Neodiprion lecontei: one gene and its partner. The protein of the gene in region 1 purifies or fractionates together with the protein of each later gene. This does not show direct contact. Links are inferred from orthologs where the notes say so. Each region holds a gene or a part of one and is shown in the gene's direction. Other genes may lie near its edges.

Evidence for each region.
Region 2: the proteins of MRG/MORF4L-binding protein (region 1) and inhibitor of growth protein 3 purify together in Homo sapiens (co-immunoprecipitation; 4 studies listed by BioGRID and IntAct, counting the BioPlex papers as one, with this or other methods). This does not show direct contact. The link is inferred for Neodiprion lecontei from reciprocal best matches to the Homo sapiens genes MRGBP and ING3.

The regions. Positions count from the first base shown.
Region 1 is NC_060262.1:41,134,327-41,139,991, reverse strand, and holds MRG/MORF4L-binding protein, read left to right. Parts: upstream 1-2,524; 5' UTR 2,525-2,787; intron 2,788-2,839; exon of another isoform or gene 2,840-3,074; 5' UTR 3,075-3,348; coding exon 3,349-3,451; intron 3,452-3,539; exon of another isoform or gene 3,540-3,554; coding exon 3,555-3,676; intron 3,677-3,813; coding exon 3,814-4,183; intron 4,184-4,347; coding exon 4,348-4,502; 3' UTR 4,503-4,619; downstream 4,620-5,665.
Region 2 is NC_060265.1:31,031,077-31,039,261, reverse strand, and holds inhibitor of growth protein 3, read left to right. Parts: upstream 1-2,671; 5' UTR 2,672-2,781; coding exon 2,782-2,809; intron 2,810-3,271; coding exon 3,272-3,343; intron 3,344-3,717; exon of another isoform or gene 3,718-3,906; coding exon 3,907-4,266; intron 4,267-4,955; coding exon 4,956-5,370; intron 5,371-5,501; coding exon 5,502-5,700; intron 5,701-5,824; coding exon 5,825-5,941; 3' UTR 5,942-7,268; downstream 7,269-8,185. Other genes in the region: sideroflexin-2, read left to right, coding at 115-313, 404-529, 642-708, 784-883, 957-1,004, 1,108-1,222. UniProt on the Homo sapiens protein: Component of the NuA4 histone acetyltransferase (HAT) complex which is involved in transcriptional activation of select genes principally by acetylation of nucleosomal histones H4 and H2A.

The DNA.
Region 1 (5,665 bases):
ACCGCATGCTTGTTACGTACGTACGTACTAAAAATACCTTTTCATACTCAGGGTTCTACTGCAAGCTCATAGTCACTCTGCAGAATACTTACCGATTCAGATTTTCCATCAGTCAGCCAAGTGATCCTGACTAAACGTTTTTTTTGCAGAGATGAAAATGTAAATAAGGATTCGAAACAATCTTGACACTGTTGATTGGTCAATGACAAATTGATTATTTTTTAAAGTCCTTTTAAACTATGATAAAAAAATCCCTGTGATCAAAGAATGTATTGAGTCACAATTCGTTTGAAATATATTATTGTTGAAGGAACATTTCGCCTCTAAAAATTGACAATTAACCGGTTTTTTTTTCTCTACCGCCTGCACAATCATCATAGCCAATCCTGACAATAGGAATTGCTTCAGATTGGAGGGAGAGACCACGCGAGGTTTCCTTGTTTGCATAAGTCTATGAATCCACTCTCAGGCTCAATACCACAAGCACTTATAGCTTAAGGCAAAAACACTACTTTATAAAATTTCTGATGCGGCTATTCGTGTGTGGCCAAGATTGTCCTCCTTTCAACTCTACCTCTCATGTTGGAAGTGGCGTAGACTCTACTGCGGAATTGAAGTTTACCGTTAATTATGCGAAGAAAAATTAATTGGATATTATATGTAATAAGTGTCGTTATATCCGTAATTGCTTACTATCTAATGGTCTGCTCAATTACTACTGATTACAAGAGAGAGTTCAGAATATTTGTATATATAAGCAACGGAAGTATTTCACCATTCATCGCTGATATCTTTCGCTTGATCACTTATTGGCACCTGAATTCCATGCAACTAAACTGCATTGGTGTATACTGTATAAAGCATGGCTTACGTACGGACAATTGTGGCGCATAATTTTGCATTAACAAGGAAAAGAAGGAGGAGAAAATGAAGGAGAAAAAGTAGTATACATGTACGTATAATCAATGGTGTTAGGCACAAGTAGTTCTTGGCTTTAAATATTTACATCGCAGTATACGAAAAGAATAACTGTGATATTTTGAACAGTTCGTCAGATTGCAATCAAGGTGCAGGAAAGTTGATCGCGATGCCTTGAATGAATACAAATTTTCTTTGGCGTTATGTTAGATTCAAGAGAGCTGCCGAAACTTTATACGTTGACTTTATGCTGCCGATTATTTGAGGAGTTTTATTGCATGGATTGGCGCTACTTTAATGAATGTTCAAAAGGTTCTTGTAATAAAGAATATTCTGTTCTTATTCAAGTTTGGCCCTGATGATCGCAAGAATTCCTCATTTACGTATACATTTACAATAGTCAGTTATGTACACGTATATAGGCTGCAGGGTTGTTCAACTCGACGTTGTTTCAAACGTTCAGGTTTATGCTTCCCGCGTTGCTTCAGTTGAAAAGATTGAAGCAGCGGACCGCGTCTAGTCATCATCGCTCTCTACCTTTTTCCGCTCCCTTTTGACGGTCTCGCGAACCTGTCTACTTCTGTCTGCACCTCCTACTTCTCTGCCGCTAATTATTTCCGTTATTACGGTAGCAGCTATCTTAATCACAACCATATTTGACGAAATCGGACTCCGCATGAACTACAATTTTTTTACCATGTTTTCATCTGCCGATACATTGATGAACAACAATAATTTGCCGTTTTCATTATTTCGCTAAAATGTGTGAATCCCAGGAGCATGATTCTGACTTATTTTGTATTCGTGAAAGGAAGATTTTCCGTTTAAAGCTGCTGTCTGATTGCTTCAGATGGCACTTATCACTGCTTTCGCGAGTTAAAAATAAGTCAGAATCGGAGTACTGGTATAGCACTAAGTACAATAAGCATAGTGATCTTTAACTGAAGAGGACTTTTAGACGCTAAATAAGAATCCCGGAATTTCTCGGCAGTAGTCACTAGACTCAATCTTACACAGGCATTGTGAAAATGCCGGTACCTGCAGCTGGAGAAAAGGAGATTATTAATATATTAAAAATTTGTCAGAAATATATATCCGTATTGGAGCAACTGCTCGGTTTGGTCAGGCTTGTTTTACCTTCAGACCGTAATAAAGCGACCGTCGATCAGCAATATTTTTCCGGTCTGTATCCCAATCTGTGTCCTGCATCAGATCAGATATATGATGTATGGCGATTGTATAGTGATTCATAGGTATGTGTAGTGAAGCTATGCTTAGGCAAATGAAATTACACAAGAAACTTTTCCCAGAGAGATTTATCCATGCTCTAGCACCTGAGAGCACTTGACGCAAGCGTAAGTATCAATCTGGCTAATATTCGTTTTCGTTTACCCCTCCGTCAGCATATGTCGCAGCTGATGCATACATGGAAATCCGGCATAATTTTGCGAATTGAGGATCAGCCCGAGAGATGGCGCAAAGTATCTCCAGAACAACAACTATTTGACCGCAACTTGCTTAGACCATAGAGAACGAACTGTGCATTGCCTATGGTACGGCTTGCTGCCCAGTAAAGCAAAAGAGACGGACGACGCTATATCATTTGTAGAAGAGAGACGAAATGCTCTATTACAGAGTAAACGTTGCCGCGTTCAACAGCACCGTTGCTATGTTAGGATTCCATACCCTATGTTAAATAAGTCAACAGAATAATAATATTGACTATAAGGAATCATAATCGCAATGTAATAAATATTACTGTGAATTTTGTTGTGATCAAATAAGTAAAAAAATGAAATGAAATGAAATATTGCTGGGCTCTTAATTGTAAAGAAGCGGTCGATAAAAAACGCGTGTCACCTTTTATACGTATGTATGACAGTATTTACATTTCGGTTTTTTCAAATATCAATGTTATTGAGGTTATCTCAATTTCACTGGCATATACATTTTTTAAGGTAACTTAAAAAATTCATTTTTCACATAATTAAACAGCATGATTTTAGGCATGCCGAGAGTGAATTGCACAGCTAGAGCGTATCAAAATACGCGCTTTTTTCAGAGCCTACATTTCAAGAATTACCATGTAGTACGTACAAGGCTTATTCGTGCGCGCGTGTATATCGATATGACTATCCTAGTTCTTTACTCGGTAGTACCCCCACTACTCCAATGTCCAGTTGATTCTGTATGGTCTAAGGGAACGATGCGATTGGTTCTCAATGCGGGGCCTACTCGCTGTGAGTCACCCACTGAAATGAGTCACCTGTAGGTAAAGCAAGCGTCCGACCCGATACTTGATTTAGAAAACTACAGAAGACGAGTGAAGTTTGTTGTGCGAGTTAGGTTAGGTTCCGTTGAATTGGCCTATTTCCACGCTATTTCGCATTTAAGTGATATATACCACACGATAGAGGCCAACCTCACGCGATGGCTGTCAAGGAAAAACAAGTTGACCACACGGAGGAAATAGAGTGGAATGTTGACAATGAAATACAATTATTTTTTGCCATGAACGGTCACAAGCCAGTAGGTAAGATATTCATTTTTACAAAATACACGATACAATGAAGAAATCAGATTCTCGTGCGGAACTAATTTTGAGGTTAGCTTATGTACAGAAATCTGAATTACAGGTATCAACAAATATTTCCACATGGTCTGTATCTGGGAAAAATTTCGCGCTGCAATACACAAAGATATTTCGTTGAAAGTTGTTTGGAGCCATCTGGAATCAATGTACGACTTAGCAGCACTGGTGAGTTTACTGGTGATTTATTTCATTGATCCCTCGTCAAATTAAATTTGAATAAAATGTATAACACTACAAAAGTTCAGTTTTTCGTTACTAGTCCTAAAAATTTTAAATAAAAATTTTGATCAATTACGTTTCAGGATGATATGGAAGATCTTCCGTTTCCGAGCAATGAGACTGATTTTGCACTTCCGGAGTCGGAGTTTTCTTCTTTGATGAAATTGAGAAAGAAGGAAGAATTAGATGTAAAAAGTAAAGAAGTCCAACCAAAGGAGAAACAGAAGGAAATGAGGAAGGATAAAGATTCTAAAGATATTGTGAAGAAAGATATTCCTCCTCCCAAAGAAGTTAAAGGTAGTAAAGAACCAGACAGGAAAAAGGAAGAGCCAAAAAAGCCTACCAGAGAAATGGATATGAAGAAAGACAAGCTTCGCGACTCCAAGGATATAAAAAAGGAGCAACACAAATCTTCCAAAGGACGTCCCAAAGGAAAGGACGATGATGAAACAGGTGGGATTGCAGATTGTTTAGCCAAATTATACTTTTGTTTTAAAGGAAATATAATTATTTTCTAACATTGAACAAGAATCATTAATGCCAAGCACTTATTATATGGTGTTCCAATAGCTGTCACCTAATTCGTACATATTGTGTAATGCGCCGATCTTTTGCAGCTTCGGCCGGCAAAAAGGAAAGGAAAGATTCTGAATCAAGCCGTGATGGTCCAAAGCGAGGTGTCAAAAGACCGACAAGACAAAGTGTAGATAATACATCAAAAGCGTCGTCAAGCCCACGAGATACACCACCGCCAAAGCGACGTAGAATATAACAATCTGGATATTTTAGGTGGTATATATATCCAATTTTATCCCCATGATGTAAACATAAACGAATTGCCTACGAGTTAGGCAAAGCTTGCAGTACATATAATTGAAGCTTTTGAGGGGAGAACAGATGAATTCTTCTTTTTAAATGAACAGCTTAACATAAATCATAAATCACACCCTATCTTTACTTGGTTAGATTTAACAACGTACCATGTAAATACATGTAATGCAAAGCTTGCATTACATGTATTTGAATGTTTTGAAGGGAGAAAAGATGAATTATTCCTTTGAAACAAACAGTTAAAACATTATAAATCAAATCACATTGTATCTTTACCTAGTTAGATTTAACAATGTACCATGTAAATATTAGCTTGCATTACATGTATTTGAAAGTTTTGAACAGAGAACAGATGAATTCTTGCTTTAAGACGTACAGCCAAAACATAAATCATAAATCGAACCGTATCTTTATCTGGTTAGATTTAATAATGTACCATGTAAATAAAAGTACTACACTTTTTTATAAAAATGTATTGTACATTGACTCAACATCATACCTGTCCCTAACCATCAATGTTGGCTATTGATACTTGTACTCGCAATCAAATGGAAATATTTCACATCACTTTACACAAAATTTATGAATGAGTGTGCCGTCAGCTTCAAGTATCATTAGATTAGGTCCAAGCTTGGTACAATAGAAAGTGTTACAACTGAAATTTGACACCGATCACAGAAATGGTCAAGATAACAATACTTATCTGAAATAGTAAATCCTCGTCTTCTGATTTTTGCTGATGTATTACGTTGAAATTTTATGAATCGGGTGACTTTTTCAAAAGTAAAGTAACGGTTGAATGTTTAGCAATATTTTCAGGTTTTTTTTTGGTATGCTACACTCTGCTTGGATGTGCACAGGGCCTATCTTTGACACTTGTATGAAGTAGGAAAAATGATTCACAGGACCATTACAGGATAGTTATGATTAATATATCACGGTATTATCGTATTTGAAGCCTCAGATAATTGTAAACACAAATTTAAACTACGCTCTTACTCGTTGTCAGGCACGTATATTGAATGTTGTAAACAATGACAGACCGAGGACGTGAATGGAATGAAGGTTAAGACACGCTTATGCTAGCTAGGTTGGATTTTTGGC
Region 2 (8,185 bases), on another chromosome or scaffold:
TATATTTAGTTTTTTCTTTCACGTTACTTAATCACGCTGTAGGCGAATGCCGTTTTGAAAGCGTGCAGTTATTTTATCTCCCGTGTGAATTTCGCCCGCAATTTTCCCTGACAGAACAACGACGGCGGTCGTATTTTGGCAATGGGTAAACCAGTCCTTCAACGCCCTTGTGAACTACACAAACCGAAATGCGAACAGCCCTGTAAGCACCACTCAGCTCTGCACCGCGTACTTCAGCGCGACGGCCGCCGCAATGATAACGGCAATAGGGTGCAAATCTTACTGGCAGAAAAGGGCGAACCCCCTGATGGCCGTGAGTCTGATCGAATTGACTAAATATCCAACTTGGAGAATCGCGAACTCGTAAGAAAACACGAGATCTTATAAAAGCGATCATTTTCAGAGATACGTCCCATTCGCTGCTGTGGCTGCGGCAAACTGCGCGAATATTCCATTGATGAGGCAGGTCGAGATCGCCAACGGAGTTGACGTCTGCGACGATAACGGTAACAAGTTAACGAAATCTAAGGTGAGCACCTACGAAGACTTTAACAACAACCGATTTATCATCTCGATATTGATACCGTTAGACCGCGAATACGTCAAGTTAATCATGGATATTCAAGTACGTTTAATTACAGATCGCTGCAGTCAAGGGTATCAGTCAAGTAACTTTTTCAAGGATCGTTATGTGCGCCCCAGGAATGCGTGAGTAACGTATGCAATAGAAATTTTCAATTTCTAATTGTCTGACAACGTTATCTCAATTATTTCTTTATACAGTGATTCTTCCGCCAATTATGGCGAAGCTGGAAACGTACGGCTGGATGCAGAGGATTAAACCACTTCATGCACCAATTCAAATTATGCTAGTCGGATGTTTGTGAGTAGATGCATACGCACAAATATCTCATCAACGTTATGGAAAGTATTTATTCTGTGACTTTATTTTTTAGCCTAACATTCATGGTACCAACTGCTTGCGCTCTGTTCCCGCAAAACTGGTGAGTTCAAGTTTCATCATACCGTGACGTTTTACGTGAATTATGTTATTTTTTTAGAAAATGGAAACAGAAAAAAGAAAACGATTCCTTTTGCTTTTTACAGCTCCATTGCCGTGAGCACTATTCAAAAGTGGGAGCCAGAAAACTACGAGATTTTGAAGAAGAATTGCAAAGACGGAAATGTACCAAAGTTCCTGTACTTTAATAAGGGGTTATAAGTATTTTCATCGGCGTATCGACGTAGCCACGTGGAAACGGAATGGTGCTTTCCGTTGCATCTTCGTTACGAATCAAGCGAAATTGCTTGAAAGTAAAATGAATGGATAATAATATAGAAACGCGGAATCTCATAAAATATATACCATAATATGCCATGAAAAATTATTTAGGCAAATGGGGACTGGAAACCGAAGTTCTTTACTATTTCAAGAAAATTAAATTTATTTAATACCGAGTTGATAATGTTGGTGATAATACTCAGATTAGGTTATGCAGATCATATGAAAAATATTAATGCAGTAGTAAGATAGGGGCGATGATTATTTAGCAATAATTGATGGTTATCATCTACAGAGATGACGAAACGTATTAGTTGGCAATACTAAAATATCAGCTGTGATTATTTTCTCATCTATTCGTCACTCATTATGGAGTACAATATGCCTATGCATTGGCAAATTTCCCATTCAACATTTGTAATATCAAACGCCAAATACCTGTACAGATAAAAGTATACGTACGTTATTAATAGTCATTTAAATAAACGCGTTTGACCATAATTACACGCATTATTCTTAGCATTCTTTTATCCCTGTGATTGAAGAAGATAGTTTTGCAAAACAAACTACTCATTATGAGCCAAGATAATTAACTTCAAGATTTATGCCAATGGTGTAAAAAGTTTAATTTGATAAAACCGTATTTGTAAAGTAATATATAGACATGCTGCACAAATTCATTATATATTAGGACGAGCAAGTGAGGGAGCTTGCGACGGTGGTGGAACGTAACCAATACGCTCCTGTAACTCAGTTGGTGGAATTTTGCCCCAAGCTGGCGGATTGAATCCTGGCTGCTTCTCCGCCTCCTTTTTATTTTCCCGTTCTTTCCTTATAGCCTCGAATTCCAGCAAATCATCGAGCTTCAGGTCGATCCGTGTTGGGCTACGTCGAATCATTTTGTTCTACCTAACAAAAAATATGTATGCCTGTGCCTCTAAGATTGGTATCTTGACTATCATTCATGTAGCTGATTCTTCGCGCGAGTTTAATGAATTTTTACTTCAGGGATAAAGAATTGATCAGAACGTAGTCAAGGCATTTTGAACAATGCAATCACGGGGTTCTAAGTAACGACGAATACGACCCTGAATCTATCCGCCCCTGATATCCTGACTCGTGTTTTTCAAGATGGAGGTCAGGATCCGACGGACAGACAAGATCTGCGCTTCGTCGCTAGGCAGAGATATATTAACAGTGAATATTTTTTTTACGTCTGTAAAATTGATGAAGGGAAGCCACCGGCAGATTGAAAAAGAATCAATATAATCGTTGGCAGAAATAGTGATGAATCGCTTATCCTACAAGAATAAATAAAATTACCAGTATGAATGGGTGAATGTTTTTGGGTGCAGCACGCAATCAAGTCGCCGTAAACACGCTTCCCGTCGACTGCTGAGATATAATAAATTTCCGAGTCCGTGGTCAGCACCTCAGTTTCGAAAATAGTAAAACAACCGTAGACCCAGGATCCAGGAACTGTACGTCGGCTCGAAAGGATGCTGTATCTTGAAGATTACGTCGAAAGTACGTAAAATCGGAGACGACAGCACAAGCCCGAACTTACAAGGGACCTACTAACCTTAACGAAGGCATTCGGCCTCGACGAGCCTCACAAATATCCTCGTAAAAATTAAGATCCCATCAATATCGCGTTGTAGTTTCGCGTGTTCGTTATTCATGGAAAATTTTCGTCTTCTTTTAGCCCGACATCGACACCGTCATCTTATTTGATTGTATTAGACGTGAATTATTTAGCCTTTTGTAGGTTAGGCTGATGTTATTCGGACGTTTAGTACATCAAGCCAATCTCACTACCCACAAGTTTTGCACTACTATTAATTCCGACAATGTATCAGGGATGTTTCAGTCCCGTATAAATTGATTTCTTGCCTCCAACTTTGCTTTTCATACAATATTCATCCGTTTTATTTGAACCACCGTTTGGTTATGTTGCCTCGAAACTCCAACTCCGCTTACTTTTTCTAGTGATCGAACATCTTCCGCAGGAGCTGCGCGACAGATTCACTGAGATGAGAGAAATGGACCTGGGAGTGCAAAGTATACTATTTTATTTTCTATATTACTCAGGGTTCGTACGCACCAGGAAAATATGGAAGGAAAAGTTAGAGACTTTTGAAAACAAGACTGGAATTTTGAGTCTGTCGAAGGACTAAGCTCGTTCTTGTACAAAGTACTACTAATCTTGAGACAAAATAATTGCGCTTAAAATTTTGTTTCCTTGCACCACTTCGTACATTCTATATATATATTACTTGATACCAAACCGTTTTTCATTTTCTTCTTATGGAAAATTGCAGGCTGTTGTTTGTAAATTGATAGTCAGAAAGTAAGATAGTTACTAGGTCATATTGAAGGTATTAGTATTAATTTGTAAAAATATTGTCATTAATCAGTGTCTTTTTTGTTGAAAGGTTACTGGAAAATTCCTATTTTCAAGCAGGAATACCTGGAAAAGTCAGGGAATTTCATATTCCAAAAAGCGTACAAACCCTGTTACTCTGCGTGTCATAATGTAAAAGATTATGGGATACAGCGCAAGAACCGAGTCATTCTACCACGATTGTCTTCGTAGTTTCAATAATCTGTTGTAAACTTTGTAGACTCGATGGATAGCCTGGAGAAAAAGGTGAAAACCTTCTTTTCAAACGCCAAGAAAATGAAGCCAAGTGACAAGGAGGCGGAATATGAAACGATACGAAAAGACTATTACAAAACTTTAGAAGATGCCGATGAAAAAGTGCACTTAGCTAATCAGATGTACGATTTGGTGGATAGATACTTGAGGCGACTTGACCAAGAGCTTCATAAATTTAAAATGGAACTTGAGGCTGACAACAAAGGAATTACAGAAATATTAGAAAAACGATCCTTAGAATTGGATCAACCGCCAACCAACAGTAGTCAAAAAGAGAATCGTTATAGTTTTACTTCTACTAGAACTCGGGACAGTCACGGACATTGTGAGTGTAAATCGTCAATTATGGACGTCAATAATGATACAGTAGCGCTCGAAACTATTTTGATAATATGAAATTTGTAACTTCTTTGATCAATCGTTTTTCTTACTTTTCTTTGTTTTCACTTTATTTTTGAGCAATCGAGAGTTAATTTTTAACAGTTATGTAGAACATCGAATTTCTTTCGACCAATAATATTATTTATTTTTGTAGTTTTTACTTGTATGTAATTAACTGAATTACTATCTTTGTCAAAATACTTTTGAGCGCTACTGTATATTCTCAATTTCTAAATCGAATTTCAAAAACATGTCAGCTGCAGAATATTCACATTTCACTTTACTGTTCAAATTATCATATTTTCTTAAAATTGCTACGTCTGTTTGGAAACTTGAAAAAAATAAAATGAGTTGTGAACCAGGTCATCTGATTCAAAACAGTTTACAATGATGATAGTTTATATTTTATCTAGCGAAAGTTCAAAACTTCGTCACAATCACAGAGAAATCTTGCTAAGAAAACGTGCAATGAACCAATTTTACTTGGACTCCCCTTAGCTACCGGGACTCAAGGGCTAACAGATTATAAATTATCCCCAATGATACTTTCAAGTACTTGTGATCTGCTGTCATAAACGGTTCTTCAAGTAAATTTCTGTTCAATCTGGTATTTATTGATACTTTTAATTGCAGCACGGTCAGAGAAACGGAGAGACTCCAACGCGTCCTCGGTATCGGTAGAAAAACGATTAGTGATTGAAAAATCGTCGCAAAGTCTTCCAGAATCACGACCAGCCTCGGCAAATTCTGGTCCAATAATTGCAACTACTCTGCCATCCGCGCCGACGGCAATAGCTAGTACAGTTGGTCCGGTCAATTACGGTTTAGGGCATATTGGCGCTGGTGGTAACGCGATAGCTGCTGCTGCATCGCAGGCAATTGCTGCAACGCAACAAATGCAGCAGGGACGGCGAACCGCCAGTCTTAAGGCGAGCTATGAAGCCATCAATACCGGAGGTGTTCACGCGGCTGAATTTAGTAGGGAATTAGCTGGTGCTGCACAGACTGCTATAGCTGCGATTCAAGAAACCACCAAGAAACATAAAAAGTATGTATACTTTGAAAGAGAAGAATTCAATTGGCCAAATAAGACTTCGGGGTACAATGATCAAAGAAAACCAGATTTTCCTGTATTTTTATCTCCACCGACAGAACTCACTAGTGTTTCTTCGCTTGCAGAAAAGTTAATACTACAGTACCTAGTACCAGTGTGATACCAGCGGCAGTTCAACAACCCGTCTCTCCACCTGGAGTAACGGCTACAGCAGCAGTGACAGATGCAGATAATACAGATTGGCCGTACGACCCGAACGAGCCGAGATATTGCATATGCAATCAAGTGTCTTACGGCGACATGGTTGCTTGCGATAACCAGGATGTGAGTATCAAGCGTTAAGATGCTTACATTTGCTCTATGTATTATTTATAAAAACAGATGCAGTACGCAGGGTTTTCCTCCCATATTTACTTCGATTGATAATTATTTGCAACATTTGTTTCAGTGTCCGTTTGAATGGTTTCATTACCCGTGTGTCGGAATTTCTGCGCCACCGAAAGGAAAATGGTATTGTCCGCAGTGTACGTCTTCTATGAAGAGGCGCGGTGGTCGGAAAAATTAATGAGGAAAGATATTTTTTTGAAATATAAACACTAAGGATAAGGAAAAGTAAAAACAAAAACCGTAAAAAAATGAATACTACCTCTTAGCTACTATCTGCCGATTTATTATCATCAATTTACATAGAACAGTCGACGCGAATCTGATGTTAGGTTTTTTTGTTTTTTATAACTATAGAATATGAATTTTCAAGTTTAAGTTTTGCTCTTGTATAGCGCAAAACCTGATTCGAGTCATAAACTCGTGTTTTATAAATGTGAGGGATATAATAGCTTAGTTTGAGAAGTACCTAATTAAACTGCGTGGCATTCGTTTTTTTCCACACGCCGCGTTTTTACCTGGGGATTATCTTGCAGTTAAAAAAAAAGATGAGAAAAACGAACAATAAGAAGAAAAAGTAAACTCTCTCAACATTGGCGAAAAATGTTTTTTTACCTCAGATATTACGTTCAACGGTCCCCATAAGTTCATTCGTTTGTAACCTTATTGTGACCTTGTCTCTCTCTCTCTCTTTAAACGATCTTGATGTGTTTCGTATAGAATTTGTGACCGTGGTCAAGCTTAGCCAATGTTGTATCGATCTTTCGATCGTTACAAGTTCAGTAAACAATGAAAAACATACCAACTATATAAGTGTTATGTGCTTTCAAAAAATAAGGAAACGGAAATGAAAGAAACGAAAAAAATTTCACGAAACTAAAACGACTAAAAAAATGTTTTAAATCTATAAATAAATGTAGCAAACATAATAATGTGTAATAAGATGTGTGATGCGATGGCACGATTTGTCGGAATCGCCTCATTATGAACGGTACAACTCCTGTCATTGTAGATAATTGTAGGTCCATATCGTCAGTCGGTGGCAGAGCTCAAACTCACGAACAAATGGGGAGGAAAGCTTTGGAGTTGAGATGGCGTAGAAGGGTTGTAGCGAGAAAGACACTCATTCGTTCATCACTTCAACAATCCCTGGTTCCAATTTCTCACAAAGATAGAAGTTGTACTGTACATTATTCCGTTTCTCTTAATTATCTTACCGTCCTCAGTCGTAAAATAATAAAAGAGACGATCGGTCAATTGTGGTACATTAACAGGCCAAACTGTCATTAGCAAATCCAAAAGTATAAACAAATTTGCATATAATCATCTGGAATTTGTTTTAACGGAGATTGGTGCAAGGAGATTAGAAAAAGAGAACAGAAAAAAATCATGTAAATTCAAGAAGAACACAGGCTGACTACTATTTCCGTAGGACTAGGACTATGAACATAATAAATGTAATATCTTGACGTGTAATAAATTGAACGAAAAAACGGCAATTATTTAGACTGTGTGTTAACATTAATATCCCCATCTTCCTGTGCAGTATTGTATTATGTCCCAGGTGAGCCCATATCACACGACTCCCTTGACATGAAAATTTGGTACTTGACAAAGGAATTTTCAGAAATTTAGGAATGTTTGAAATTTAATAAACCATGATAAATAAAATGTACTCATATTTTGCAAAGCCAATTTTACATCGAAAATTATTCTAAAAATGCGCAATAATAATTTTTTCTCTGATCTTTCGTTACGTCAACATTACTAACTTCAGCCTCATGTTTTCATTGGATATTCCCCCTCCGCCCTCGACGTTTCAAATTTAAGGTAGGCCTAACTAGCGTATACCTAATCTGACGAAATCGAGAGTTGTATTGCGATGGAGCAGAAATAGTTGACATACAAACTGAGGAGTATCAATTCCGTAATCAAAAATGCGTAAGATATGATTCTTACATATAACACGGGAGGCAGATTAAACCCGACGTACATACAAAACACCAAACGAAAGAAATGCGTGACCGCCGGTGTCTGCATCCATCGAGGGATTGCGTAGGTGTACATCGATAAGAGTGTGTATAACACGCACAGTGAAATTCGAGATGCTTTCCTACATGCTTACAGGCACAATAATTATGTGTAATAATTGTCAGATTACCTTCGGAAGGTGCAGGATGACGAGCAGGCATACGATCCGTGTTGCACAACGCACGATATTATCACCGAGGCACAAGTCACAAACACTGTCGCAAGGACGTTGAAGCCGTTTAAACACATAACAACAGCGTCGCTTCAACTTCTTATGTCGATACGCGGACCGCGGTCATCGCGCCGAGTGACCGAAAATAACGTCGGACTAGGTACGAGAGCGGTACCTAGGTGTAAGTGATACACCGCGAGATGCTGACAATGGCTCGGAAGC